7 linked regions of the Oryzias latipes genome follow. The protein of the gene in region 4 interacts with the protein of the main gene of each other region in a pairwise test. Links are inferred from orthologs where the notes say so. Each region holds a gene or a part of one and is shown on either strand. Other genes may lie near its edges.

What was found.
Region 1: the proteins of pin1 (region 4) and meox2 interact in binary tests that used the Homo sapiens proteins (3 or more experiments, as listed by UniProt). The two-hybrid records come from large-scale screens. The link is inferred for Oryzias latipes from reciprocal best matches to the Homo sapiens genes PIN1 and MEOX2.
Region 2: the proteins of pin1 (region 4) and rbbp8 interact in binary tests that used the Homo sapiens proteins (3 or more experiments, as listed by UniProt). The two-hybrid records come from large-scale screens. The link is inferred for Oryzias latipes from reciprocal best matches to the Homo sapiens genes PIN1 and RBBP8.
Region 3: the proteins of pin1 (region 4) and ankrd40 interact in binary tests that used the Homo sapiens proteins (3 or more experiments, as listed by UniProt). The two-hybrid records come from large-scale screens. The link is inferred for Oryzias latipes from reciprocal best matches to the Homo sapiens genes PIN1 and ANKRD40.
Region 5: the proteins of pin1 (region 4) and angiomotin interact in binary tests that used the Homo sapiens proteins (3 or more experiments, as listed by UniProt). The two-hybrid records come from large-scale screens. The link is inferred for Oryzias latipes from reciprocal best matches to the Homo sapiens genes PIN1 and AMOT.
Region 6: the proteins of pin1 (region 4) and foxp2 interact in binary tests that used the Homo sapiens proteins (3 or more experiments, as listed by UniProt). The two-hybrid records come from large-scale screens. The link is inferred for Oryzias latipes from reciprocal best matches to the Homo sapiens genes PIN1 and FOXP2.
Region 7: the proteins of pin1 (region 4) and rai1 interact in binary tests that used the Homo sapiens proteins (3 or more experiments, as listed by UniProt). The two-hybrid records come from large-scale screens. The link is inferred for Oryzias latipes from reciprocal best matches to the Homo sapiens genes PIN1 and RAI1.

What each region holds. Positions count from the first base shown.
Region 1 is NC_019874.2:31,204,043-31,208,362, forward strand, and holds the start of meox2 (homeobox protein MOX-2), read right to left. Parts: upstream 2,811-4,320; 5' UTR 434-2,810; coding exon 1-433. UniProt on the Homo sapiens protein: Mesodermal transcription factor that plays a key role in somitogenesis and somitogenesis and limb muscle differentiation. Required during limb development for normal appendicular muscle formation and for the normal regulation of myogenic genes.
Region 2 is NC_019878.2:11,812,830-11,816,895, forward strand, and holds the start of rbbp8 (DNA endonuclease RBBP8), read left to right. Parts: upstream 1-1,230; 5' UTR 1,231-1,358; intron 1,359-1,563; 5' UTR 1,564-1,587; coding exon 1,588-1,687; intron 1,688-2,505; coding exon 2,506-2,548; intron 2,549-2,648; coding exon 2,649-2,744; intron 2,745-2,921; coding exon 2,922-3,013; intron 3,014-3,243; coding exon 3,244-3,316; intron 3,317-4,066. UniProt on the Homo sapiens protein: Endonuclease that cooperates with the MRE11-RAD50-NBN (MRN) complex in DNA-end resection, the first step of double-strand break (DSB) repair through the homologous recombination (HR) pathway.
Region 3 is NC_019866.2:13,503,882-13,508,024, forward strand, and holds the start of ankrd40 (ankyrin repeat domain-containing protein 40), read right to left. Parts: upstream 2,869-4,143; 5' UTR 2,436-2,868; coding exon 2,302-2,435; intron 1,703-2,301; coding exon 1,554-1,702; intron 1-1,553.
Region 4 is NC_019859.2:22,494,231-22,498,624, forward strand, and holds the start of pin1 (peptidyl-prolyl cis-trans isomerase NIMA-interacting 1), read right to left. Parts: upstream 2,874-4,394; 5' UTR 2,843-2,873; coding exon of another isoform or gene 2,818-2,842; 5' UTR 2,773-2,817; coding exon 2,715-2,772; intron 1,833-2,714; coding exon 1,750-1,832; intron 860-1,749; coding exon 751-859; intron 670-750; coding exon 559-669; intron 1-558. Other genes in the region: ubl5 (ubiquitin-like protein 5), read left to right, coding at 2,818-2,842, 2,967-3,070, 3,370-3,431, 3,896-3,979, 4,077-4,114. UniProt on the Homo sapiens protein: Peptidyl-prolyl cis/trans isomerase (PPIase) that binds to and isomerizes specific phosphorylated Ser/Thr-Pro (pSer/Thr-Pro) motifs.
Region 5 is NC_019872.2:12,828,710-12,833,074, forward strand, and holds the start of angiomotin, read right to left. Parts: upstream 2,881-4,365; 5' UTR 2,451-2,880; intron 1-2,450.
Region 6 is NC_019881.2:5,166,098-5,169,715, forward strand, and holds part of foxp2 (forkhead box protein P2), read right to left. Parts: intron 3,407-3,618; coding exon 3,314-3,406; intron 717-3,313; coding exon 527-716; intron 1-526. UniProt on the Homo sapiens protein: Transcriptional repressor that may play a role in the specification and differentiation of lung epithelium. May also play a role in developing neural, gastrointestinal and cardiovascular tissues.
Region 7 is NC_019866.2:12,420,575-12,424,192, forward strand, and holds part of rai1 (retinoic acid-induced protein 1), read right to left. Parts: coding exon 39-3,618; intron 1-38. UniProt on the Homo sapiens protein: Transcriptional regulator of the circadian clock components: CLOCK, BMAL1, BMAL2, PER1/3, CRY1/2, NR1D1/2 and RORA/C. Positively regulates the transcriptional activity of CLOCK a core component of the circadian clock.

The sequences.
Region 1 (4,320 bases), on a different chromosome or scaffold from region 4:
GGGTGCTGGCGCACAAACTGGGCGCACCCGGATGGCCCAGGTCAGAGGGCGCGGGCCCGCTGTCGTGGGGTGCGTGTGAATGCGGGTGGCAGAGGCCGTGGCGCGCGCCGCCGCCAGGCGACGGCATCGGCGGGACGTGCCACGAGGTGTGGTGCTGAGGCGGGGGGTGATGCTGCTGCTGGGGGGTCAGGTGGCCACGGTGGGGGTGGTGGGGGTGCTGCCCGTGAAATAGGCCGTCGTCGGCCGGGTAGCTGGAGATGACGCACGGCGAAGGTGAGGAGGTGGAGGAGGAGGAAGACGAGGAGGCCAGGTCGGGGTAGGAGATGTGGTCCGAGCGTCCGTGCAGAGTCAGGGGAGACTGGGTGAAGGCGGAATGGAGGGCCTGCGGCGGGGCGTGGGGGCTCCGCAGGCAGCTGAACAGAGCGTGATCCATGGCGCCCCACCAGAGGAGACAGAGGGGGGTTGGACGTGAAGGAGCTCAACCAGCCAGAGGAAAAACAAACGTAAATCCCAGATGCTGCTCCTTTTCCCCGTACTCTCCCCAAACTTCTCCTGCAGTCAAAGCTCTGAAATGTGGCGTCCTGCGGTAATCCGGAGCGTGCGGCCGCTTGCCAGGCTTCACAGGGTAAACAGTTATCCCGGGACGGGCTGCAGCTGAGCCTCTCAGATGTCAGGAGGAGCAGGGGGCTGGAGCTCCAGCCTGGAAGCACGAGGAGGTTCGGAGGAACTGCAGAACGAGGGGAGCCGGCTGAGGGGATGTTATAAATAGGGTGTAACGTGAGAGGGAGGCTGGGTCCTAGACTGCAAACGCGCTCCTGACCACATACACGCCATCACCCTCCAAAACGCAAAGCACAATAAACGTGTGGCGTTAAAGCGGCCGAGGACGGAAAGACGGCGCTTCACTTTGGACCTGACCTCCGCTGGCCTCTCGGCGTTCTTTGAGATCCTGATGGTTCGTGGGCGGAGCTGGCAGGAGGTCACACGGGGGGAAAGTGGGACACCATGCAGAGGTTGGGAGGTGTCAAGGGTTAATTTGCCCCGCCCCCCTCTGTTTGTCAGGTTTGACCTCTTTAAAAAAGAACTGTGTGGATGCTGGCGGAGATGCTTGTTGTCTCCATTAGCCGCTTCCTGCGAGCATTGTTCTGAGGGACGATGGAGTCCGGAGCGGGCCTGGCGTGCCAAACACGTCCAGCGCCGTCCCGAAAGGAAGCTGCAACATTTAAGTCATGACCTGCTGCACCTGAAACACCAGAAAAGTTCGGCTTTGATTAAAAAAAAAAAAAGTTTTTGAGATGAAGTATGTTTCAAAAACATTCAGAACTTCTGCTTTGGATCAAACCCCCGACATCCACGTCTGCTGCATCCCGACCCGGGGAGGAAAATGGGTCGGTCCCGGTCAGAACAGCAGCACAAAAACTCCACGAACTACAGCAAAACCACAAAACACGGCTTTAAGTTTAGTGTACGCTCAATTCAAGACAAAACTAACTAACTAGTAACTTTCCTGTAACAATTTATTTAAATACAATAAAACCCGAATATCTTGAGTCTCCAGAAAACATATCTAATGAAATTAAGTTTTTACTATTTGCTTGATTTAAAGAAAACTGGAAAGTCTCATTTGACTCATAAAACACACATTTGTCAAGACAAAGTTAGCTTAAAATGTATTTTGCTCTCATAACAAAGACAACACATCAAATTTAGTGTTTATAGATCATTTCAGGCCTAATGTAGTCTCTAAGGCAGAACAACCCAACCTACTAAGAACAAAGTTTTCTAGTTTCTTTCTAGAAGAACATTTTTTCCAGTGCATGAATTTATCTTGAGCTTTTACAAACTAAAAGTCTTGAAGTACCACTTTTATTGAAATCTCTTGAGAGTTCAGTCTGGGAGTTTTCCGTTAGAAACAAAACAGATTCAAAAAGTTCAGGGGTGAATCTGACAGGACTGAATCTGGATTTAGAGCGGCCTCTCTGACTGTTGACTCCGGACTCGAACCAGCCGTTTCCTCACAGCTGCTTTTCATAAAGCAAAGTCGCCAAAGTCCTGTCTACCAGCCGGGGTGGGGCGTCTGTACGCAAAGCGCCACCCTTAAACCCGGCTGAGGACTTATCTGACAGATGGATCCCTGTTTCTAAGCATGGACCTGTTTCAGGTCAGCATCCGTGACCTGTGGTGCGCCTCAACAATCCGGATGCAGGTCCTCTTCCGGTTTCACTGTTTTATTAACATTTCAAAATAACAAAAAGAAAAAGTCCACATATGCAGATGATGCTGAGATATATTTTTATCTTCTATCTTCCCCTGCCCTTCAGTTACTTTTATGAAAACAAAGCTGTAAATTTCCAATCTTTTAAATTAAATTTATAGAAAACCATATGGAGAAACGGGTGTTATTCTTTTATTACTTTCGACGTCAATCTGTGCTCCACATCAGCGTTTATCCATGGAGAACGTTAGAAAACGCTTAACTCACTTCGGTTTTTGTTTTTTTAAATTTCAGACTGAAGTGCTGCGTCTCGGACGACCCAGAGTCAGAAATCACAGAGGTGGTTCATAGAAAAACTGAATTCAGACTTTAGACTCCTCAACGCTCCTGTAATGCCATGCTGTTGGTTCCAAAATGTCCCGAAACATTTCCGTGGTTTTTGTTTTCTAGTTGGTTCTTTTTTTGTGGTTGTATTCAAAAAAACGACTCGATGCTGTTGAGTTTTCCCTGTTTTTCTTATGAAACGCCTATTATGGTTTAATAAATAAAACCAAATTTGTAAATGTTAATAGTTTGAATGTTTGTTCTGCCTTTATGATGTCTTTAACAAACCCAGTTGGGGGGGGGGGACTGTTTTTCTCAAATAATTTTTACATCTTCTGCTGCTGACATTTTTCCAAATATTTTAATAAAAATATCTTTTAGTAAAAGACTTCGCTAAGGATCTGCTGCTCATAAAGCCGTTTTAGGCATTTTTAAGTCAAAAACGTTTGACTTAATAATGTTTTTGACTTCCAAAGAAGAAGACAAGGAGGGAAAACAATGAACCAGACCAATTCTAAATATGGCTTTGTTTGTTTTTATTAAAAGTCGTGTTAGCTTTTGGAAAATTAAAGTTCCTTCTCAGAACTACTGTTGTCAATTCTTTGAGAAATAAAAAAAATAAAACTTTGTGAGACGTTAGTTTTGTCCTGAAAGTCCGGGCAGAACAGAAACCAACCGGAGCTGCCGTTGGATCAGAAATGACAGAAACAGAAAAATCCTTCCTGTGAACCAAACTCTCCGCCCTTCCTCTCAGCGCTCTGCGTAAATCAAAGGCATTTACTTTACAGATTAGCCTCAAAGAATAGATAGAAAACAAATAAAATTGATGGCGGTTTCAGAGAACTCGCAGCTCCGAGACGTTTTACGGGGGGAGCGCTCACAATAACTGCCCGCTCTGGGGAAGGACTTGGCCGGCCCACAGCCTGAGAAAGGAAATTAATTCCTCTTTGAGAGAAAATGACTTTAACAGATAGCTCAGCGGAGACAGGCGGTAACTCTGCTCCCCGCGCCCCCCCAGGCCTTCTGAAGGCAGCGGAGGAAAGGCACCTTCACTGAGTGAGCGTCAAACTCTTCTACTGTTTATCTTACAAATAAAGGCTATTAGCGGGTTAGTGCGGGTCGTATATCTGCCTGGACTGAGCAGGTATGGCCGCACACGTGTTTTCAATCCGTCCGGGCTGTGGGCTGCACCCGCCTTACAGACGCTGCACCAAAGCCTGAAAGGTTTCGGCGTGTGAACGTGGACACGTCCACCAGGTTTTACTCTTTGAAATCACCTCAATGCATTCTTTGAAAAGTGGCTTCGACTGCAGCGACACAACCGTCAGACGACCCCCGATGGCCCCCGACGCCATTTGTTTTTCCAGCTCCTCGCGTGACGACACGTGAAATGACACAGGGGGCCACGGGGGTAAGGACCGGAGCACAGGGGAGGTGAAGGAGGGCATGTGATGATGACCTTATAGGTGGACCTGCTGCTAAAACCTGTGGCTGTCACTCACACGGGTGGGAGGGGTGGCGGCGAGCGCGGCGTGCGGCAGCTCTGCAGACCCTTCTAAGAAAACGGAGCTTCAGTTCAACTGTCGGTGTTTTAAAATAAACACATAAAAGTTTATTTAACCTAAATATGTGAGGGAAACGAACCATAAAATAAGACTTTTTTTTAACTTTGTTATTGACAAATATTGTTCAATGATCGAAGGTAAAGATACATTTTTCTGTTGTCTGTTTTTTCTAAAATAACATATGTATGATGTATAGATATATGAATAGACAAAGAT
Region 2 (4,066 bases), on a different chromosome or scaffold from region 4:
AAATGACCTCGTCTACATAGGATGTAGTCCACCTGAGTACTCCTACCTCCACTTCTGTATGTCACTCTATGTTCCTCTCTCTTCTGGAAGTAAGTGTTGACTACAGCCATTTCCATCCTCTTCGCAAAGTCCACCACCATCTGTCCCTCCAGATTCCTTTCCTTCACACCAAACCTGCCCATCACCTCCTCATCACCTCTGTTGCCCTCACCAACATGCCCATTAAAGTCTGCTCCAATAACAACTCTCTCTCCTCTGGGGATACTCTCTATGACCTCATCCAACTCACTCCAGAATCTCTCCTTCACTTCTAACTCACAGCCAACCTGTGGCGCATACCCACTGACTACATTCACCATCACCCCTTCGATTTCTAACTTTAAGCTCATCATCCTGTCTGAGACTCTTTTCACCTCTAGAACACTGTTTACAAACTCCCCCTTCAGAATCACTCCTACCCCGTTTCTCTTCCTATCAACACCATGATAGAACAGTTTGTATCCTCCTCCAATACTACGTGCCTTGCTGCCCTTCCACCTTGTCTCCTGCACACACAGTACATCTACCTTCCTTCTCTCCATCATGTCTGCCAGCTCTCTGCCTTTCCCTGTCATTGTGCCAACGTTAAGAGTCCCTATTCTCAAACCTATGTTCCTGCCTTTTCCCTTCTCTCTCTGGCCACGGGCCCTTCTGCCTCCCCTCTTTCTTCGACCAACAGTAGTCAAATTTCCACCGACACCCTGTAGGTTAACAGCATCGGTGGCGGTCGTTGTTAACCCGGGCCTCGACCGATCCGGTATGTCTAAAGTGTTGTGGATGATTCGCATGGTTATTTTGGCAATTTTTACGCCGGATGCCCTTCCTGACGCAACCCTCTCTATTTATCCGGGCTTGGGACCGGCACAGAGGCAACTGGCTTGCAACCCCTGTGGCTAGCCATTATTAACTCTGTAAAGGCCAATAAAGAATTGAAATGGAATAAATGTTTTCTCCTTAAAACTAAATTATATATTTTTATTGCTGTGGGTAAAACATATTTGTGAAATTTGGCAACATATTTATTTGAATAGTTAAAAAAATAGATTAAGTCCTCATACATCAAACCGAAGTGGTAAAAATAGTTTCCACTAAATTTGATGTTCATCATCAGCGATTCTTTTAACCACCACTCTTTGAACAGCAGGAGGCGCTCGAGCGTCCAGTCTGCTACATTTTCAGGGCCACAAAGAAGAGTTCCCAGCATGCACTTCTTCGGCGCGGAAATTTCAATGGATTTTCAATGCGAGATGAAAGTCTGAGGAGAGAGCTCACGAAGGAACAAGTCTGCCGTGTTTCGGCGTTCAACCAGCTCAGTTTTTGTAAGTACGTTTGTGAAAAGCTGCGTTTAAATTCACCGCGTTGTTTGGAACAAAATAGTGGGTTTGAAAAACTAATACTTGTAAAACTTCTACTGAACTACTAGAAGTTCTATAAATACACTTTTCTATGTACTGGAGGCTGACATGGCGTTTAATAACAAATAAATATTCACGTCCATCTTATTTTTTTCTTTAAATTATGTGGGCTGTTTGCGGAGAGGTGTGAAAGATGAGTGGATCAGGTGACAGCAGTGGGACGATCAAAGCAGCTGATCCCTTTGAGGATCTGTGGCGGCAGCTGGGAGAGTGTCATCATCACGTGACTGGAGGTAAACGACTGCTGGTTATCGGGCAAGGAGTGACACTGATAAACAAGGAATGGATCAGGAAACAAGTATGGATTTTCTTTAGAAAAGACAATTCTAGCTGTATAAAAACACAAGAACAGATTAAGCAGTGTAGTTTTTTTAATTTTTATTTATTTTATTGACCAATTGCAACATCCAGAACAAAAAAAAATGCAACAATTATGTACATATAATGTACATTACAATTCTGAATACAGAAAAAACGTGTTACATCCTTAGGAAGATTTTAATTATTAACAATAATTACAAAAAGATTAAGCAGTGTAGTTTTTTTTTAGATTAGCAGTGTAGTGCAGATCCGGCTTTTACCGGCCATGACGTCATCTGCGTGAGCCTGAAATCTCCTGCATTTTTAAAACAAAGTTAAAAAACAAACACTAAATTTTATTTTCAGTGTTATTACAATATGTTTTCAATAAAAATAATTATTAGTGTACAAATAAATGGGTGATTTTTACCTGTACTTTAGCAGAAATGTACACTTCACCTATAAAACTGTAGAAGAAGCATTGTTTGCTTTTGTTCAGAGCTAAAGGAAGGATAAACTAAAACACACGGAGCCAGAATTGAATCAAAAGGTAACAAGTCCTTAGTAAATGAGTAAAAATGTGATGCTGGTTTGTTTGCATTCAATCAATGGCATAAAAATGCAAACAAAAAAAAAAGGAATTGGCAACTGAAAGCATTACATGCAATTTGGTAATTTACTGCAGAAACTCTTAAACAAAATAAGAATAAATAATAATAACTTTTTCTATGGGAATAACTTTTTCCCATAGAGCTGGAAGCAAAGGTGAGCCGGCTGAAAAAGGACCGCTGCCTGTAAGTCCTGATGGATTTTTGTTTTAAGGAACGCCAATAATCATAACGCATTCCTTCATAGTTAAGGAATGGCAGTCAAAGTGACGTTTGTTTGTTGCAGAGATGCTCAGAGACTTGAGGTGTTTTACAACCGTAACCAGCATCTGAAGGAGGAGAACAAAACCCTGCACGACACCATCCACCTCCTAGAGGAAAGGTAACATCCTCCAGCGTTTGTCACACTCTGGACCAACAGAACCGGCTACGTTTGATCATCCGGTTTTGCTCAATCAACAGAGGGTGCTCCGGTCTGGGTGTTGGGGTCACCAAAGGGGGGGTAGTTTGCTAAAGAGAGGCAAGAAAAACAAAAGTTTTGTTGTTCTTTGTTTTTCAGGCTCAGAGCAGGAGAGTGCGACCGTTGTGTTGTCTTGGAGGAAAAGCTGAAGAGCAGCCTGGATCAGAATCTCAGACTTCTTGATGAACTGAGTGAGTCCCAGAAGGAGCTCCTCTCAAAAATAAAAACACGTGCACCATCTTTTTAAAATAAAATCAAAAGAGGATGTGGGAGGTGGATCGGCTTTCAGTTGCAGCCAATCATGTCTGGAGGGGAAACGGTTGCTGCGGCTTTTCCCTTTTTGTTTGATGAAGCGCTGATGGAGGTGGAGGACAGCCGTCTTGGAATGATGGTGCTGAGAAACTTTTAACTTCTTATTCAGGAATTGAAAGAAACAACCTGCAGGATGAAAACAGGAAACTCCGTGCTGAGATACAAAAGCTGAAAGCATCGTGGTGAGTTTTCTGTAAATCTTCTTCCTTTCAGGGAAAATGTTGCCTCCAACCTTCCCAAAACGTACCTAAATTTGCATTTACCTAGTACCCAGTCAAAATGACTTTTGGGCATTTGGGGCCAAAGTCTCTTATGGGTCCAAAAAAAAGTAACAAACCAAAACACACGTGTGTGGAAGATGTAGATTTTGAATGGCGTTAGCGTAGCAAGTTTGCCAAAATGGCGTTTCCCTGTTGCTCACATAGTTTTTACTGGAATATTGTGAAAATACACGAGTCGACAGCTCAGGCTGAACAAAAACAATGTCTGATTGAACATATTAGGAATGCGAGGGTGGTTAACAAAAAACCTCTGTTGCTAAGGAAATCCCAAAAAATTATTTTTGCCTGTTCTTCTAAACGTGACTCAAACATGTTCGTCACCCCCAGGCGACAAAAAATTAAAATGGTTGCTATGGAGGCAAAACCAACCGAAGGCTCCTTTTTTTTTTTTAGTTTTCATGAATTTGTTATGTGGCTCTGACTGGGGTGGCAGAGGGAGAGTAAGGGGGGGGGGGGGGGGGTAGCAGCCGCTCAGCCATCATAGGATGGCGAGGGCAGAGGCGTGTAGCGTCTGCTGCTCACGCCTTCATTTTATTTCAATATCTAAAAATGTTTTCCTCATTAATGGTAACATTTAAATAAATAAAAATATTTTCTCTAAAATTTATCACAGAAACGTGTCTTATTTTTTTTCTCTTCATTTTTGGTTTC
Region 3 (4,143 bases), on a different chromosome or scaffold from region 4:
TTTGGCCACTTGCAAAATTGCATTTATAACAATAATAATTTTTCCAACACTGCAGACTAAATTTAACTGAATCTCACCTTATTCTCAGTAGGTTGAGTTGTGAACATCAACCTTTGTGTTGATTTATTTTGTTAATCAAAACCTGGAATTTTTACAGTTTTGCTCCAATTAACACAAAACTACAAACTAGTTTGGTGGTTGCAGGCAGGGAAGGGGAATTTGTTACGGTGTGCGCTCCTGATGGTTTACACGGTTTCTCCGGACGGCGTAGCAGCATTTCCGCCTTCTGTGGTCCGGAAGCCTCGGACCGCAGTCCGTCTGGCTGCAGTCCGAAGCTTCATCCGGACTAGCTTCGTGTTTGGACGGAGCGCACACCATAACAAAGCCCCCTCCCCGGCCTGCAAACACCAAGCAAGTCCGGAGGAGGCTTCGGACCGCGGTCAGTCTGCGCAGTCCTGAGAAACCGTGTAAACAATCATGTGAATTTGTGGTTCCAGTGTTGTCAAGACAAAATAAAGGCTGATGTTATTCCCACAAATTTACATCCAAGAGACACATCGCGGCATCGCCCGCAAGGAGTTTAAGTTCATCACAGCTAAATGTTGTTGTTGGCACATCTTAGCCTAATGCTAACCTTTCTTCCCGGTCCTTGTAGCCAAGAATAAAGCACTGGCCGCATGAGCGAACAGGTCCTTAATAATAATCGTAACAATAGTTAAAGAACATTTAGAAATCATCTCCTGCTGTTTCCCGCTAATTTTGCCGTCTGAGGACAGCTGCAGCCTCCCTCTAGCACAGATTTTGCCATGCTGAACTTTAGCTGGTAGGACCAACAACGCAGTAGAACAGCGAGCACTGAAGCCATCGCCCCAGCGTTTTAAGTGACAGAATAAGCGATGTAGAAGAAGAAAATGAAAAAGCGGTTTGGCGGATTGCTTTTTCATTTTATAATTTTGAGTCAACAAATGCAGCTTCATTTTGAAAATGAAAACGCATTTCTAGTATTGACTTTTATTTTTAATTATGGTTTTAATAATGAAAATTGTAAGAAAAAAAACGTATGAATGAAGAAATACAACATTTTTGCAGAGCTGGTACACCGATTGGAAAGAAAGGTGCTGACTGGTTGATCTGCAAAACTCGCGTCAAAAGTATGAGGACGTAACTTGAGCGTGAAGAATTTTGTGAACCAAACACAAGATTAAGACTTTTCTGAGCACCTGGAAAATATTTTTACAAGTGGAAAAATTAGATTTCTACAGGTTTACCTTTTTTTTTTAAATATATATATGTACATAAATGTTGTGGACTTGCAAATATTTTTGCAACTAACTGAAGTTTTTCCTTCCACATGTAAATATCATTTATACATGTAGATATCATTTTACTGCTGAAAAATACTATAGAAAGACAAACCCTATAGCTCAACTTTGGAGTGTATTAACCAAAGACAAATGTATTCTATAAGATACAATTTTTTAACTGACGTCTCATCTGTCACAGAGTGGATATCATATCCTGGGGAATAAAAAAAGTAATTAGAAGAACTTTACCGCCTAACAGTCGCTTGATCTCTGGTTTGGATGTTAGTTGAGACGCCAGCTCATCTTTAGCCGTGAGGACTTCTTTGTCTGCCCCACAACTTAGTAAATAGGTCACTACATGCTTATGGTTCCTCTTGCAAGCCCAGTGCAGGCATGTCCTAAAGAAAACAATGAAAGAAAAAGCATTTAGACATGAGATGTGGCCCATAGCATAAACATATTTTCACTTGAAAGACCCACTCCAAAGAAAATCGTGTTAATTGTGTTTTTGACGTTTTTGTTGCACCACTAATGTTAGGTGTGGGCTGTAAGCTAAAGGGAGAAAGTGTAAACAAAGGGATGATGGGATATCAGCAGAGGTGATTTTTTTCTAATTTCCGCTCTGCAGAAACTATGGCCTAGAGCACAACAGGTTTTTGGATTTTGCCTATAAATCATAATTAAAAGACCACTCTGAACTTTTTTACAAAAGATTGAAATATAACTGGAGTGGGACTTAAGGAACACTGATTATAAAGACAACAATTCTGGAAGTTAGAGTCCTGGACAATCAGACAGAAGCTGATAGTGAAAACACAATTTGATAAGCAAAGGAAAAAGTCGCAATGTTGGCGGTTTAACAAGCTCTGCTTTGTGTAATAGGATAACAGTGAGCATTTTTAATCCTCGTTACATCAAGGACACGTGATAATTGCTGATCGTAAAACAACACTGGGGACTCATTTTTGGTCAGATTAAACATTTTCGTAATACTTACCATCCATTGATTTCGTTTTGGGAATTGACGTTTACTCCACTCTCCACTAACGAGCGCACTTCGTCCAGATCCCCGATAGCAGATGCTTCTCTCAGCCTCTCTTGTAATTCTTTATCCAACGAAGTCGTGGACATTTTGCCACAAAACACTAGCGATGTTAGATCATATGGTGCAAAACCGCCGTGCTATTTACATCAATTGTCAAAACACAATCCACGACCGATTTAACAAGTGATTGCACACAGCTCGGGCTGAACAGACTCTCCAGCTAACTGTAGCTACCCCGGCTAACCTTACCTACTGGCTAGCTTGAGGAGGTGTTAGCTTGTAGCTTCAGCTAACGTAACTTCGTCGTGGCCGCCATTTAACGGGGAAACAGCTACTTTTCTCCTTTGTATTTATGTATGCTGCTGGTTGACGCCACAGAAGCGCTGTCGTCACCCTGAACACTCGTTCAGTCCTAAAACTGTGGTGACAGTCAGAGGTCTGCCGGTGTAAAACGCCACCGTCTCACTAGGGGGGGAACGTTAAGATGTGACAACTGCGCACAAATGTTCGTTCCCATGGTAGCGGTTACTTCACGCAATAACCTTCCGTGTTTTACTTTTTAATTAATACCAAACTTAACGTCAGATTCTTTGTTTTTGCCCTCAGCGTCACGAATAAAATGATAAATTTAGTGCGAACTTCCAAGCATGGTAACAGGTGCAACACTGCTGTCAGTCTCGGCTTGTGTATGATTGTATCGTAAAAATAATTATAGTTTCTACACGTTATTTGGGAATTGTTTCTTGATAAAATATAAAATAATAATTTGACTAGTATTTAACAACAAATGTAAAATTCAATTTTAAATGATGGATGGAAATATTAGAGCCCTTGGCTGACTAAATAATGGGGTTGAAAACAAAGTAAGTATAATATTATGAATGCATATATTCACAGCTGAAAATAATACATGTATATAATTAAAATAAACATCATAGTTTACAAAATAATTACGATTAAAATAATTTCATGGAAAAAGTAAATATGAAAAAGTTAAGCTGAAGCCAAATAAAGCAAATTTAAAAAAATAAATAAAACTTAAATCATTGTTCAAGAAAATGAGAGAAACGTGCTCTAAATAAGCCTAAATAGTTAAACATAACTTTAAGAATTTTTGCAAAACAAACCGGAAACTGCTGCCGAACAGGTTAGCGTTTCTACAAAATTTTCAATTCCCTCAAAAATGTAAACCCTTTTAATAATGATATTTTTTAAATACCAGAAGCCAAAGAAAAGTATATGGTTAAAGTAAATTAAATATATTTAAAAATAAATAAAACAAAAATGCAACACCTAGCTAAAAACACATTTATTTTCCACCCGACAACTGAAAAAACCTGTTTGCACTGAATTGCTAAACGTTTGATTTGACATTACTAGTTGAAAGTATTCTAAAGTTATAGCTCCTAATTAGCACACAGTTTGCCCTTTAATGGCTCGTTTTAAATTCTTACCAAAAGAAAAACTGCAGGAGAAGCCAAACTTTTCGAGACTAGAATTTCCTGAAATACCTTGTGGGGGGCAGAAAATTAAATTATAAAAAAATTATATATTATTTTTTTTGCCTGGGGAAAAAAACACGGGGAAATCAGAAGAACTACCAGGCTAATTTCACTTCTAACATTGATTGGAAAAAAGTCTGGTCTTTACCACAAAAATACTTCTTAACAAATAAAGTCAAAGAAATCTCTTTTAAACTCCTACACAGATTTTATCCAGCAAAGCATTATTTAACTAAATTTAAGGCTGACATAAACACCAGTTGTACTTTCTGCCAGAAACAACCTGAAACCT
Region 4 (4,394 bases):
ACTTATAGTCCGGAAAATACGGTAGACACATTGTTATGTTTAATAAACTTTACAGTTGTTAGTGCTACTAGTCATTATCTTTTTTTTTTAATCAGGTGGGTGATGAGGTTTGAGTTAAATGTAGATCATGAATGCAAACATGCAGACGTAAGCCAACTTAGACTAAATTGGGTATTTTAGGAAGACTAAAACTAAATTGCATGTTTTCTAATACGTATAATATAAGCATTATGTGTAATTTCTCTTCAGTTTGGCATTTGTGGGTTGATTCAACAGAAAAGACAACCCGTGCCAGAGTAAGTGATAAGAATTGTCCTGGCAAATGCAACAAAGCAATGTTGAGAGACCAACAAATAGACAGAGTAAAAAAGTTTATGAGGCTTTTGCTGGAGAGGAAACCTTATAAACAGAGTTAATTATTAAGCATTTTTTAACTAAAATTAGAAAGCATTTTTACTTAAAAAACTGTAAATATTAGGACAATACTACCTTATAACTACATAAAAGCTGAAGAACTAAAACTAAGAAAACCCAATATTCCCATTATGATGTTGGTACCTCTGGCAAACAGTCCCAGATCTCCACCGTTCTTAGCTGAGCTGCAGTCGCTGAACTGAGAGGCTAGAGATTCAAAAGACTCATGCCCAGATTTGATTTCGTCTATGTACTCTAGAAAACAGAACCAAAAAAAAGACAGATTAAGTAGAGATTTGAAACAGATCTGGTGTTTCTGTCCTCTGCCTTACTTACTCTGAATAAGCTCTATAGCCTCTTCTTTAGTTCGTGTTATATTTTGTTCCCTCCAGGAAGAAGGACGTCGAGACTGATTATGTTTTACTAGGAGGTGGGAGCATCGCACCTGAGAGAGAGAAAGGAGGAAACACAAAAAGATACACAATACATCATCACCTATTTGTTAGAAAGTGTTATAAAATGTTTCTGTGCAGGGGTGTAATGACTAATTGACCTGATCAATCAATCGATTTATATTCCTACGATCCAAGCAGAACAATCTGTCTGAGGCATTTGTTAATTGAATCGATCTATTACATTATAAAACTGTTTCAAATTAAAATAAATATATTATTTCCATATCGGGAAATACCATTTGGCTTAAGGGACGGTTTACTTTACTATAACATAATAACAACCAAGTGTTAGTTAGATTGAACCAATATTGACCATAAAATCGTACTGGAAACCACAAGTGATCATATGAATTAGACCTGCACAACAAAACGCAAATGTATCATTATCGCAATTTCAAGCTGTGCAATTCGCATATTGCAAAAGTCGTCAAAAATAGCAATAAATGTTTACTTTAAATGTGCTAAAACAAATATTGGAGTATTTAACGAATCAAATAAATTGACCAATCAGATGGGGCTCTTTTATTTATTTATTTTGAAGCTTTTCTTAGGTTAGACGTTCGCCTCCTATGTAGACGAGGGTCATTTGGAGTATAATTTAAGTTATGTTGACTCTTATTTAAATTAAACTGTTGCAGTAAAATGGAAATGATGTTTTTAGTCGTTTTGCTATTTGTTCATGAATGTTTTATCGTCGTCGCAATATTGATCACTAATATGGCGAGTTTTCCTCATATGGTGCAGCCCTAATATGAATGTCATTAAAACTAATCATTACCGGTACATCACTATCACAAGCTCTACAAATACTTCTTTAGTGAATTTATTATGATTTCAATCCTAAATGTATTGCTAATAAAACACACAAAATGAAGTCCACCTTATCTGGCTCTCCACGGCCATCTCCCACAGGACGTTCCCACTGGCTGGCATTAGTGATGTGGTTAAAGTAGTACACCTTGCCTACAAACAGCAAAGAAAGCAGTTTGATCAGCACCTTTGGAATGATCCAAGACATTAGAAGACACAAAAATCAAATTACAGTTTACATGACCTTACCCACTAAAACTGCAAAAGCACTCACAATTCCCCGTATCGGTATTATTGTTGTTTCATAGTAGTTGGTCATGAAGTTGCATGGTTTTGAATAAAACCAATGCATCAACTGCTGACAGTGTTCAATTTAGTTTATAGGTCTGCAAAAAGCTGTTCCTTTGCAATCCTTCCTTTTTACTCCATTGAAAAGAAACACACAAATAAAACAGAAAAAAAAACACCTAAAGTTTTTACAAGGCAATCATCTACCCAAACAGATTTTCTGTAAAAGAAGAAGAGAAATCAGATAAACAGACGTATCTGCAGAAATAAATCACATTTTGGGGGGGATCTGAAAGTTTAGTAGATTTCTCAAAGTTAAATAATTACCTATATATGAAAAAAATGTAAAGTGATCTTGTTTACAAAATATTCCCCAAATTGTCAGTTTTACTGTGCGTATATATTCACAAAATACTTTCAAGACATCAGGTCTAAGCTGCGTCTGCGCAAATTCCAGGTGACGTCATGCAACGGCGGCCCTGCAGAACATCTCCATTAGAAAAAAAAGTGGGGGAAAAGCTAGTTATAAAGCAAACCGTAGCATAACCGTATTTTCCCAGCGGCACTTTTCCTGATAGAAACCGTGTCGGTAACCCCGATGCATGCATTAGCAGGACAGCCTCACCTGAAACAAGTTCACAAAGCCTCGCTTACCACGATGCACGGGCTAGCTATAAGCTAAATCAACTTCTCGTGGGCTGCAGTTGAGCTCATACATTCAGCCTCCCCCGTCTTATGTATATTTACCTGAACTACGGCTCATTCTTTTCTCCCATCCCGACGGTAAATTCTCCTCGTCTGCCATGTTATCTGCTGCAACGTTATCAAGTTAGAATTCAACGTTCAAACGATGCGACACGGCTACGGCTCAGCAGGTACGACAGTCGGTTTACGGCAAAAGTTGTTTTCTGAGTTTGGCCCGCCCCCAAACGGCTTGTCCGTCCTACTATTGGTCTTCAACTCTTGTCAATCATATTTCTTACTATCTAATTGGTTAAGAGGACAATAACACGCGACATCGATTCTACGGTGATGAGCACCGAGAGCTTTCCAGAAGGTTTCAACTAGTGAAGAAAATCCATCAATCTTGGGCTACATTTAACGTATGTTTTACACTTTTTGATCTTTTTAACACGTCTGGCAACATTTTTGAAACCTTAAGTTGATCTTAATAGGCGCCATCTAATTTATGTTTTATATATTTAAAAGAGTTGTGTGCACAAGCTAACGGGTTAGCTAAAAAAATCATGGCTGGTCGAATTTCATCGTCAATTTAGTTTCTGCTGTTGACGCAAAATGAATTACACATTCTTTTGACTTAATGTTAGTGGTGTGAACGATTAATGTCGTTCCTGTTCATAACTCCAATATTTCAGCTTACTAGCTCCTCTTTTTTTCACAGTACACGATGATTGAGGTGATTTGCAACGATCGTCTTGGGAAGAAAGTCCGGGTCAAGTGCAAGTATCCTTCTGAACACATTTGATTTGCTGATCTGCTAAAGATGTTTTGGCTGTTAATACTGCACTGCAACATGCTGGTTCTGATTAGTTAAGGGGGGGGGGGGTTACTGTGCTATGGTCCATCCATAGCACAGTAACCGTGCTATGGATGGACCCTTTCCTTATGAACCCATTTGGGGTTCATTAGAATAACCATTTGGGCCTACATTAGAATAACCAGGTAACCTATGAATCATGTATTTTCGACTGTGGGAGGAAGCCGGAGTGCATGGGGTTTCTCTGCAACAAGCAAACTCCACACAGAAGGGTCCCAGCAGGGTTTGGAACCAGGGCCTTCCCCATTGCACCATCATGCAGCTCTATTTAAAATCTAAAGACTGAAAACATTCAGGACATGAAAGCTGGAAGTGTTTGTTTTGAAGGGTTTTCCACGTCACCAAATTGCTCCTCAACATCCTTGCACAGCTCAGAGGACACAATTGGAGACCTGAAGAAACTAATTGCAGCACAGACGGGAACAAGATATGACAAAATTGTACTAAAGAAATGGTAACTTTGCCTTCCTTTGCCTTTTTCTTCTTTGCATCACAATGAACATTGCCCTTTTTGGCTTCTTTACTTAGAAAATGTGTTCTTGTTTTAATAGGTACACCATCTTCAAGGATCACGTGTCTCTCGGTGACTGTATCCTTTTGACGCACTGACTTGACCTTTACTAAGCTGATGCAGAAAGGACCGATTTGCCCTCTAATTTCTTTAGTATTTGAAAACCTAAAAAGCAAGGTCTTAGGCTGGAGCCACACGTGGCTCTTATCACTCTAAATTCTGAAGTTTTGAATAAAATTGAAAAATATTTTTAAGCTTTGTCATTATGTTTGGATTTTTTAACTGAGGTGAGCTAGTATTAGTAAAAAAAATTTTTATATACCACTGTTAACATCCACATTAAATATAAGAGGTCTTG
Region 5 (4,365 bases), on a different chromosome or scaffold from region 4:
AGTTCCTTAAACAATTGCAGTAATACATTTCAGCATGTGAGTTGCCAAAGTATATTCATTTAAAAAAACATGGTTAAAAGATTATATTGAACCGCATAAATCTAATTTATTTAATTGTATTACTGATAACTAATGAAGACATTGAACATTTTATTGTTTTGTGACATTCTTCTTTCCTACTGTAGATGCAATGACGGCATAATTGGGTACATTGGTACCAGCAGATACAAAAGCAAAGGATGCAAAGAAAAAAAGCAACGGGAATCTGCAGTCTGGCTAAGAGGAGCACTTTCTTAACTCAGCCAGAGCTCACAGATCAGCCGTTAGCTCTCATGTCTCATTGGTTGCTATGACAACATTAAACAACTTAACCTTCATAACCTTTGGTCAATGGCCAGTTTCATGACCTACTTTCAGGCAAGCTTTAGCTGTTAGACAGATGACCTCACAATGGACTCTAAAAGAGGCTGCTATATAGGAACTTTCACAGTCAATCCAATAATGACAAGATGGAAAGGACAGGTGTCAATCAAACTTAAATCATCACACCTCCACCATGCTTAATAGTTGGGCCATTGTTTTTTAGTTTTTTGATCATATGTAGCAAACAGCCAGAATCCTCTTTAACTGCAAATCTGAATTGCATTTGTTGAGACGATGTCTTGCAGCCCAAACTAGCAGGCTTGTTTATTTTGTTAAATAAAGAAAACTAAAATGAATAAAACTTCCAAGTTGAATTTTTGATTTAATCCGATTAAGGCCCAAAGGACCATACAGTCACAAGTCCTGCCAACCCGTGCATACACATTCATGGTCACAGAGCTGCAATGCAAGGCACTAGACAAACCTCCTGGAGCAATGTGGGGTTCAGTGTCTTGTCCAAGGACACTTTGACACATGGGCAGACAAAGCAGGAACCCAAACTGCAACCAGTTCTGTTACTCTACCTCTACACCAAACATTTTCTGTTCATGCTTTCTATTGTGCTTCCAAAGTCACAACTCTATTGAAGGTCAGCTTTTCGTGTACTTAAGCAATGGCTCCAATGGAAGATTTAATTCAATTGAATTTTATCTATATAGCCCAATAATACAAAATAGTTGTCTCAACAGGCTTTATACCGGTAATTGTATCAGAACATGAAATCAGTCGTAAAATACAACAGGCAATCGTTAACAAAACTAAACAGACTAAACTAAACTGGGCATTCCTACCCTTAGACCCTAATGCCTCCTATTATCCTAATATCAATGAGAGTTGAAAACTAGAGTCAAATTAACCTCATGGAAACCATTGGGTCATGTGACCACACCGCCTCTCTATTAGATCCATGCACAGTCATTGTTAGCTCCACGGCACTGCACGTCCAATCCCAGTCCTTGAAAACAGGTGTCCTGCTCGTTTTTCTGACGCCCCTGCCCCCTCTACTGGAGAACCAGGTGGGTTCCACCAGGGGTACAAGGGATAAGAAAATCCAGACTCTAGCCATGAAGAACGAAACGGAACACCCGGCTAGTATTTCATATGAACTTAATAAAGCATGATTTGGCAAAAATGTGTACTGCGTTTCTCACAGATCACTAATCTCCCTTGTGTTGTTGAGTCATTTGATGAGTAAACTTCCCCATTCCACTTGTATAAAGTTGTTTTTAAATAAATAAATAAAGATAAGAATAAAATAAAAATAAGAATTCTCCCTTTCATTAATTTTGTTTTTAAAATGATCTCGACACCCTAACACTTGAAGAAACCAACAAGGCCTCTAATATTTCCAATCGCTGGAGAAGTTTTAAAGTGTGCAAAAAAAGTAAATTACTTTGAAGAAAGGGTTTACAGCTCCATAAACGCTTGTTTATTGAAGCACAATTTATTTTATGTAAATTTGAAATTGATATACAACCTTAAATGTGTGTTCTCTGTTGGGCTTCCATATTTTTACCCTACATGCATCTGTCCTTTCCTCACCTTGTGGAGCAAATGTCATAAAGATGCTCAGCTGGATGTTGGAGGAACTTTTTTAGTATTTAATGACAGACTTTCTAAATATTAACAATCCAAAACCAAATATTATCAATCCTATAGCGTCTTTAAAGGGTGAAAGGGTAAGTAAAACCTAAGATGTCCAATCAAACTTTGAATGTGCCACCATTAGAGCTTTAGGCCCATAAAAACATGCAAAGTCTTACTTTGAACATCTGGCCTAAAAGTTTCTTCTGATTCATTAAAGTTCCAGAAAATCTAAAAACATTTAAAGCATCCCTGAAGAGGCAGCGAGTGAACAGAGATGGCTGTCATGTTTAAGCTGTTCGCGGCAGTTTGGTCTCTAGTAGATGATTACAAAGAAAGCGAGCGGACTCCCGAGGAATGCAGTTTTACGACCCGGAACAGGAGTGCGAGACGTTCACATCAGTGTGAACGCTCTCCCGGCGCACACATACTTAGGTTTTTACCTTTCCGCGGAGCTTCTTTTCTACTTCCCCGATCCTTGAAAACACCTAAACATGCCGTTTCCCTTTCCCGTTGGACAGAAGCAGTGCCCCCCTTCTCTTCAACCAAACTCCTCCGCAGGAAACCTGAGGCGGCTCAGTCCTGGAAGTCTCCGGAGGTCTCCATGAGTTTCTGCGCGGACACGACGTCTCGCTCCTTCCCATCAAATTTCATTCTCCGCCGTGGAAGAACAAGAACGTTTAAAAAAAAAAAAAGTGGCAGGAAGCTCCCTCCAGGCTGGCCCTGCAGCATGACAGGAATTTCCAGCCCCCTCCCTCCCCAAACGTCCTCCTACATCTAATGGAAACTGGATGAAAAAAACTTTTTTCTTCCCCTTTTTTGTAAGGGAGCACGGAGAGCCGTCCTACTCCCGTTTCCTAATCTAATCAGTCACATTCTTTTAAAACAGACACACAAGGGGGCAGCTCACTGGAACTCCAAACCTTATGTTACGACGCACTTATTTATTAGTTTATTAAGACCAACATGGAGGGAGTGGTTTCTAAAGATAAATATGTGCATTCTCTACAACAAGTTTAATAAAAGTGCTTTGATGTGCTCGTTTAGCTGAAACAACTCGGCTTGTACTAATGCTACGTTCCTCCATGACACAGCAATAAGGAGAGAAAAGAAAGTTGCCCCGACCTGAGGGGGGGAGGAGGGGAGAAACGGAAAAATGACAAAGGGGCTTTGTGACTGCAGCTCCTCCGCTGCCTTCAGGAGCCCGCGCGGAAAGTAGGAAAAGTCAAGAGTCAATGCACGTGCCAAACTCACCCGGAGGTTGTTTTCTCCTATCAAAAACCCAAACTATTTAGACTTAGAACATGATTCGAATGCGAATGGGGTGTCTCAGAAAAACGTGGGACACTGGAACAAGAACGAGTTGGTTCTACAGAATCTTAGACACAGTTGAACCGCTTTATCTTCAATTCGTACCCAGGGTGGCTCAGCAAAGATTCCCAACGTTTTAAGCAAAAACAAATTATTTTGTGACATTTTTCGATATAAGTACTTGACCCCACCGCAACATTGCATTTGGATAATGATCCACTGTACTTCTTTCTAACAAGAACTTTTACCCTATATCAATTTTTTTAATATATATATATTTCAAACAAATAAAGAAAAGCCATTTGATTATGTAGAGTAGATACACAAAAAGGGCCATTTTAGCAACCCACTACATCCTAACCCTAAACATTAACATACTAAAGTTTTAGCCCAAGTATAGTCCATCCTAAAAGTGAGGCAGTATACTTGAAGTTTGCTTTTTATATACTATATTATAAACATATAGTTTTCCAATTTAGTATGCAGAAGTATTCAGTTAGTATAGGCTACTTCCTACATAACAAATACATGGTCTATAGCAAACTTTTAGCAAAGAGAGCCAGATTTGGTGATGTGAAAATATTTGAGGGCCATTTATTCAGCCTGACAATCCATTAACTATTTTAGTAACATTAAATGCAAGTGAAATATTTAATGAACATTTTTGTAATAGCATACTTTTCATTTCTTCACATAGAAAACAAACACATTTAAATACATATTTGCAAAAATTACTGCAAGTTGTGCACACCGTTCAGTCCCAGTCGGCTTGTTGTAGTTACTATGTCTTGCCTGGTAGTCCCTCATGATAGTCTTTTGAAACAGCCACGGTGTCTTGGCATAAGAGGCAGACATAGTTGTTTCCTATTTTACTGAAAAATATGCCCCTTCCCACTTGTCCTGGAAATGGTTGCTATCACTGTCATTTACAGTTAACATTTTAGAAATGAGCTACAAAGTGTCAAAGATGGGTCGCATGACAGGGTTTGCCATGTGTTTACAATGGTGTAAAACGTCACTTAGCCAATCACAATCAAGAAATTGCAC
Region 6 (3,618 bases), on a different chromosome or scaffold from region 4:
TGTCATTTTGGCGGCAAACAACTTTGGCTAAAAAGGAGAAAATTAAGCTGGAATTCTTCCCTTTCCCCCCCACCCAGTATTTCCTTTTATTCTCACTCCGGTTTTTAGTCAAAGCAGTAAACAACAACAACAATCAGTGAAGGGGGGGGGGGGGGGGGGATAGAAGCAAGGATGGAGAACAACAAACAAATATGGGCGAACAGAGAGAGAGAGGCAGACAATACCAGCCTTAATCAGACCAAGAAAGGCAGCAGCGGGAAGGGGGAGGGTCCTACCAAAACATTAATGTGGATCGTTAGGGCCAAATTGGAGGAGAAAGGAGCATACCAATGAGGGGAGGCAGAGACAGACACACTTAAAGATAACGCTAAAGGAACACAGGTGCATACAAATTAGATCCACAAACAAGACATGCTGAGTAGCGGAAAACGGGAGAACGGCGGCCAAACATGGAGGGAAACTGCTGAAAACCCCACAGGAAGTCTGACTCCTGTTTGCTGAACTACGCTCCACTTCCTCTGCTTACCTGGTGGGGGCAGGGTCTGTCCGGGCAGGGCGGCCTGGCCGGGGGTGGGCCCCGGCAGCGAGAGCAGGCCCTGCCGCTGCATGTTGAGCAGGTGCTGCTGCTGCTGGAGCTGCTGCATCTGCAGGAGCTGCTGCTGGAAGACGAGCTGCTGGGCGGCCAGCTGCTGCTGTTGCTGCTGCTGCTGCTGTTGCTATAGAGAGGAGGAGGAAGAGGAGGAGGAGGAGGAGGAGAGGAGCGCAGAGGAGAGGTGGGAGGGAAAATTACACAGGAATTAACAGCTGAGATGACGGAGAAGAAGGAGCTATGCAGTGGCGCTGGAGTGGATGCAGAGCCTGTGATCTGAGTTTTCTGTAGCACAGAGCAAAGAGAGGCCAGTCTCAAGTCCGTCTGGTTAATCGTCAGTAGCTGTGCATGATGTCTCTGCTAGAATTCTCCTTCCACGCCCTCGACCTTCAACAGTTATGTGTCTCGCCCTCACTGGTGGGTTGTGCTACTAGGGGACATGCAGAGGGATGCTACATTCACACCGGCCTCGGAATCAAGTTTTTAAGTTCCTTTTCGAGCTCTACGTTCAAAAACGCTCATCCAATGACCGTGCGCTGAAAGCTAAACCAGCTGAACATTGACCAATCAGGGACTCCGGTTTAGTATTGACGTATAGATAGTGTCAATCCTATGAAGTGGGTCATAAAAGAGAAATTGTTGATTGCCGTTTGTGTTTATATGACACCAAGTTTTTTATATATCGAAAAAGAGCTGGGAGAGGCAAAGCTTGGGGCAAGATTTGCACCGCTTCCACAATTCGCACCAAGCCTCTTCCAACCGTTCCAATGCGCTGTGAACAATAAATGGCAAAAAATATGCTCAAGAACTCAAGTTCAGTGCGTTTTTGAACGCACCACATCCCTGGTGTGTGCGTAGCATCAGACATTTCTGAGGAAACAAAAGCCCACCACTCCCTTTTAACTCCTTGTTTGGTCTCACCAACTATTTAGCAAAACCCAGAAATAATTAAAATTAAAAATAAAAGAAAATAAGCCCCCTCTGATCATCTTTGATTTACTGTAAAGTCATTCCAAGTGGTCTTTTAATCCAGATCTTCCTGTTTTAGTTTCTGCAGAGGGACAGCAGATCATTTGAAATTCCCCACTCAGTTGTGGGCGGGACTACTGGCATGGAGCAAGCCCACCCCCTCTTCCCGTCACCCATCTGTTCACACGTTCTCTTGATAGCGTACAAAGATCTACATGGGTCTCGTCGTCTACAGGTGGACGTGTAAGAACGGAGCGAAGCAGGGAGCTTGTGGCTTGAATAGGTTCTTTGTCAAATAGTCTTTTGTCATCTGCTCCCGATTCACAACAATTGGAATAAAGAAATATTCAGAAATGCAAATTTTAAGCTTAATGTTCTTTATATATGAGAAATATGTCACAAGAACATGTTTAAGTGGTTCTTCCAGTCTTTGGAAAAAGTTAGAGAGAGAATTTTAGGAACCCTGACAAGCTATTATGCTGAAGGTCTGGCAGCCTGATGCACCTGCAGATGTACAGAGAAGGGGGGGGCGGAGGGTGGGGGGCACTCACTGGAAAAAACAGGCTGCATAATGGAGTGATGGAGAGAGGCTGTTTGCCTCCACACAACCCTCCAACGCACCTCAAGAGAAATAAGGGGAGCAATTTTCTATTCCACGTTGGGCGGCCGGGGCCCCGAAAACCCATTCACAATCAAACAAAAACAAAAGCACCCGGAGGTCAGACCGGCGGCATGATGGGATGCTGGAGGAGGAAGAAGAGCAGCGCGGAGGAGGAGAGGAAACACAAATAAAAGGATTGTGTTTGTGGAGTCATTGGAGCAGTTTCTGCGGCGAGGACTAAACATTCTGCTTTCCTTTAGCAGCCAAGGGAAGAAAAAGTTGGAGAGCTGAGTCACTGTACGAGGTCTGCTTACCAAACCGCACAGGTCAGTGGCAATAAACCTCATCCCAGTTAATTAAAAACCGCATTTGAATGATTTTATCGTCACTTTACAAAAACGGTAATAGAAATAGTAAAATACAAACAAGCTGTCAAAAGAGGTCTTATGGAATTTGACGATTAGCAATCGTTGCGTTGATGCAAAAATGAAGAAAGGCTGAACAGGCGGATGAATGAGGGAAAAAATTGGCGATTTAGGAAGTCAGAAGTCATCCAATGAAACCTTAGTCACATGCACCCCATATGGGCGCTGCAGGTGTCTGGGTTGTCCACGTCCATGAAGGATCGTGGAGAGCGGCGCAGTCATCTTTCAGGGACCTCGTACGGCCACTTTAAGGGACGCCGCGCAAACGGAACGTCTGATTGTCGTGCGTGTGGTAGGTGTATCGTGAAGTATCTGCACGGTGTATCTAGGTTGCACGTTGGGCGAGTAAGTGCTCGTAGGATGCACACACGCTCGGATGATCTCATTTTTAACAAATCAGGCTGCACGCAGGGACTGCACTTATCTGTTGAACACAAAACTAACTGCAGGTTAAAATGCAGGGGAAGTTAAAAAAAAAAGAAATCTGCACGACACACCTGCATCCTACCTACTTCACCCCTGTGTGCTGTTAAAGTGTTTGTTAGGACCTGTCATCTGTAAAAAATCAAAAAACAAAAAAAAGTTCATGGTTTGCCCTATGAGCATCACAGTTTTGCCCGTTTTTTGCCTGCAGACACCCCTTATCAACCCTCTGAGGGGCAGTTGTGACTGGAGTTTCAGGCACAGACTGTTGTGTGTCTTTGTTGTGTCTGTCATGATGCTGCATACCTCTTTGACCTGTTTGCCAGGGTGCTGCTGCTGCTGGAGGAGCTGCAGGTGAAGCTGCTCCTGCTGTTTCTTATAAAACTCCTGCAGGTGTTGCTGGGAACACAAACACACACAAGCATACAGACGTTAGAAAAGACTGAGGGGAAAAACCCTAATCTGAGATGTAGATAAGGAATTAGAAATGTTGGAAAATTTGGAGGGATCTAAATTAAATCTTCCAATCCCCAAAAATCTTCCTACAGCCAAAGCGAGACAAAATAAAATACATGACATTCAAAGTCTTTGAAAAATGCAATTAAGTCAAA
Region 7 (3,618 bases), on a different chromosome or scaffold from region 4:
AACTAAACGATCGTCTGGCGGTATTAAAACTGACGTACCGTTTGTGCTGAGCTGTTGGCAGCCTCCTTCAGTCCATACAGTCTCCCAGCTACCATAATTACCCCCTTGGTCCAAATGGCACAGTTTTCATGAGCCCAGTGCTCACTGGCCTCTGCTTCCATTCGCAGCCGTTGGAAGATGCTGTTGGTTCCCTCTTGGTCCCCTGAAGCCCCTTTGCTGACATTCTGAAGCTGCTTCATTTTCCTGAACCTCTCTCGAAGCGTTAATCTTCGTGGAGCGCCTTCCCGACATGACCTTTCAGGTCTCTCTGCTCTTCGATAGCGCCAGTGATGATGCCTGCTGCTGCTGGGCTCTTGAGATGATGCTTCTGCGTTTCCTTCTTTGTCCACGTTGACCTCGGCGTCGTTCTCCGAAGCACCTGGTTTTTCAGCAGTGCTACAGTCATTGCCACAAGTTGTGTTTGACTCTTCTCTGAAGGATTCTGTGTGTGTGATGGTCAAAACTTTACGCGGAACACTATCTTCTGCGTAGTATGGTCCACACAAATCCCCGAGGTCTTTGTAATTTGCTGGCTTTCCACAAAGACAACATGTAAGACTCCTACCAGATATATCTGTATTGACCATAGGCCCCTGTATCATGGCGGCAGTGTGTGGCGTCACCTTAGCCACAGTGAAAGGATTCCTCATTCTAAGAATGCCCTTTTTTCTCCGCCTCTGAAATACCACCGCGTCGTCAGGCTTGTTGACTATGGCACACCAGGATGAAAAGTCCCTGGAGTTGTTGATTCGTACGTAGGGACAAAAAGACAGCTTTGAGTTTTGATAGATCGGTTTGCGCCTGATTCTTTTCACAGAAATGATCTCTGTCAGTTTCTCCGTTGCAGTCACCACAGGACCCATGATGCCCGTGTCCTCCTTGTCTGGATTCTCCCTTTCCAATCTTGTCCTTTCTTCTATTTCTCTCTCTTCTTTTTTAGCCTGTTCGCAACCAGCAGCTCTAACAACTGCCTCAATTACCTCAATAGCATCCTTCATGCCAGGTTTTGGGCCTGGCTTTTTATGAACTTTCAGCAGCTTGACAGGTAACTGTTTTATTGGGGTTTTGCTTCTTTTTCTTTTAGTCGGGTGTGCTGATGGTTTTCGTCCTCTTCGAGGTTTTTGAACGATTTCGGTTTTGATAAACTGGGGGTTTTCTAGAATCTCATCCTGGCTAACTGACAGCGGTGTTGTTGTTTCCATAGGGGTCACTTTCTCATCTGCTGATTCTTCTTGTTTTATCCCTTCAGTGTTGGTTTCTTCAGCTGTATCACTTTTCTCTGTGGACTCCTGATCTTTTCTCTTCTTCCTTCTTTGTTTAAGGTGCATTTCGTGGTTGTTTTTGATGGCCCTCTGTTTTGCTAACCTGGGGGTTGTGACTATTAGGCTTCCGGCTTCTAAGGCTACAACTGAAACATCTGCACTCTCTACCATTGCCCATCTCTTCCTTTTGGCTCTAGTGGATTTAAGGGCAGCAGTGATTACACTTTCCGATGCCTGGTGTGTCAACTCACCTAAACCTCCTACATCTAAGTGGGTGTCTGTTGAACCCAAAGCATTATACTCTGTGATATCCTGCTGTGTGTCTACTTTAAAGTGTTCCTCTTTCTTCTCTGTCTTATTTGATACCTCATCCTTCTGTCTGTGTCTTAACCCTTCTGTTAACTTCTCCTCAGTCATTTCCTGATTTTCTCTTTCCTGTGTCATCTCTTCCTTAATGACTGATGCTTTCTGCTGCTTTGACCCCTCTTTCCCAGGTTCTAACATCTCAGTATTGTTTGTCTGAACTGGACTTTCACTTTCCTTTAGAACATTCTCAGACAACACTTTGTTTGCGGCATCATCCATTAGAATGCTGTCTGGCTGAGGTGTTGGCATGTGTTTCTTGGAGCTTGGCGAAGTAATCTTCTGTACCATAGCCTCATATTTTTGACCCCTGCCTTTACGTGGTGGGAGAACTTTTGTTTTGGTAGGGCACTGATGAGGATTTGCTGCCACATCACCCACGACGTCAGTGACACTAATGTCTTTGGTTATGAGGGTGACTGTGGAGGTCTTCTTGGGTGGGCCGCGCTTTCTTCTGGGACCTTGCACATTTTTTTCTGTGAGTGTTGGGTCAACCTCTTCCTGTGTTTCTGTTTGAGGTGGTGCAATTTTTGGTTTGGGCTTTGGACCCCTCTTTTTCTTGATGGGTGTCTCTGGGGTAGATTTACGCTGATTTACATTTAGTGGTGGGGAGGTCTTTTTCTGAGATTGCAGGAGGAAATCTGATGGTGAAGGTGGTGCAGGTGTGTCAGAAGCATCTGGTGTTTTAACCATGTCAGAACCAGTAGTTGGAGTTAGTTCTACATCAATATTGTCTTCTATTACTGGAGAAACATCCCTGACTTTAATTTTTAATAATGTATGGGTGTCTCCTTGTGTGACTTTCTTTTTGTCATTTTCCAGTTTGTCTTTTGGGGGTTTTCTGGATCTCAAGACCATGTTCTTACTCTCATTTTCTACTGCCTTTGCCTCAGGTTGTACTTGGCTGTCTGCTTGCGCTGGTTTAGTATCCTGGTTCAGTTGGGGTATTGAGGTTTTAAGGCTTTTTCTACCTCTACTTTGTTGCCCTGCAACAGCTTCAACTGTGACTTCCTGTTGCACTACTTTTGCTTTAGTTATGGAGCCTTTGGGCCGACCTACTACACCTTTAATAGAGGGAATATCTATTGGTGTCAAAGCATCCTCAAGCTTGAGTCCAGGCTTAGGAGTCAGTTTAGGTCCAGGTTTTGGGACTGTTTTTGTAACAGATTTTGAAACAGGCTTTGATCTGAGCTTTGAACCTGGTTTGGGTCCTGGTTTACGTTTAACAACAGAGTCAATTTTTAGCGGTATTTCTGTTTCATTTGGTAAAGGTTTTGGTCCAGGTTTAGGTCCTGGTTTTGAAATGGACTTTTGTCCAGGCTTAGGCCCTGGCTTCATCCCAGGTTTTATTCCTGGCTTTGGTCCAGGTTTTGAACCCGCCTTTGGGCCGGGCTTTCTCTTCAAGTTGAGTTCAGTTTTGGTTTGCACATCTGTTGCATTAAACGAGCGGGTGCACATTCTTGAACGAAAACCATCTGTCACTATTTTGGAAGTCTGACTTACAATGGAGTCCTGATGTGGTAGATCAGTGTGATCTGAGTATAGCTCAGTCTTGCTGGGAGTCACGTCCAACATTTGTGAGGCAGGTGTGGCTCTTTCCTCATCCTTTTCCTCCTCCCTCTCTAAACGTAACTGTTGCCGTATCCTCACACCTGAATGAGTTATTCTCCGTCGACCTCTGGCGTGCTTACGTCCAAATGATCTTGGTTGGGAAGATGGAGCTACCGGCTCTGGTTTAGCCAATGGAGTCATGGCACTAGTGCAGCTGATGCCCGATTCTAAATCCTCATCACCTTTTTTGGGGGAAGGTGGCGTGTTTGCCCAGGAAGGAGCTGACGGGAGTATTGACTTCCCTGGCAGTTGAGGAGAGTCTGGCTCCAGCACTTTAGCATCACTGTGATCAATATGATCCCTTCCCTGCACCGGAGGTGCTGCCTTTTCGGTGAGAGCAGAA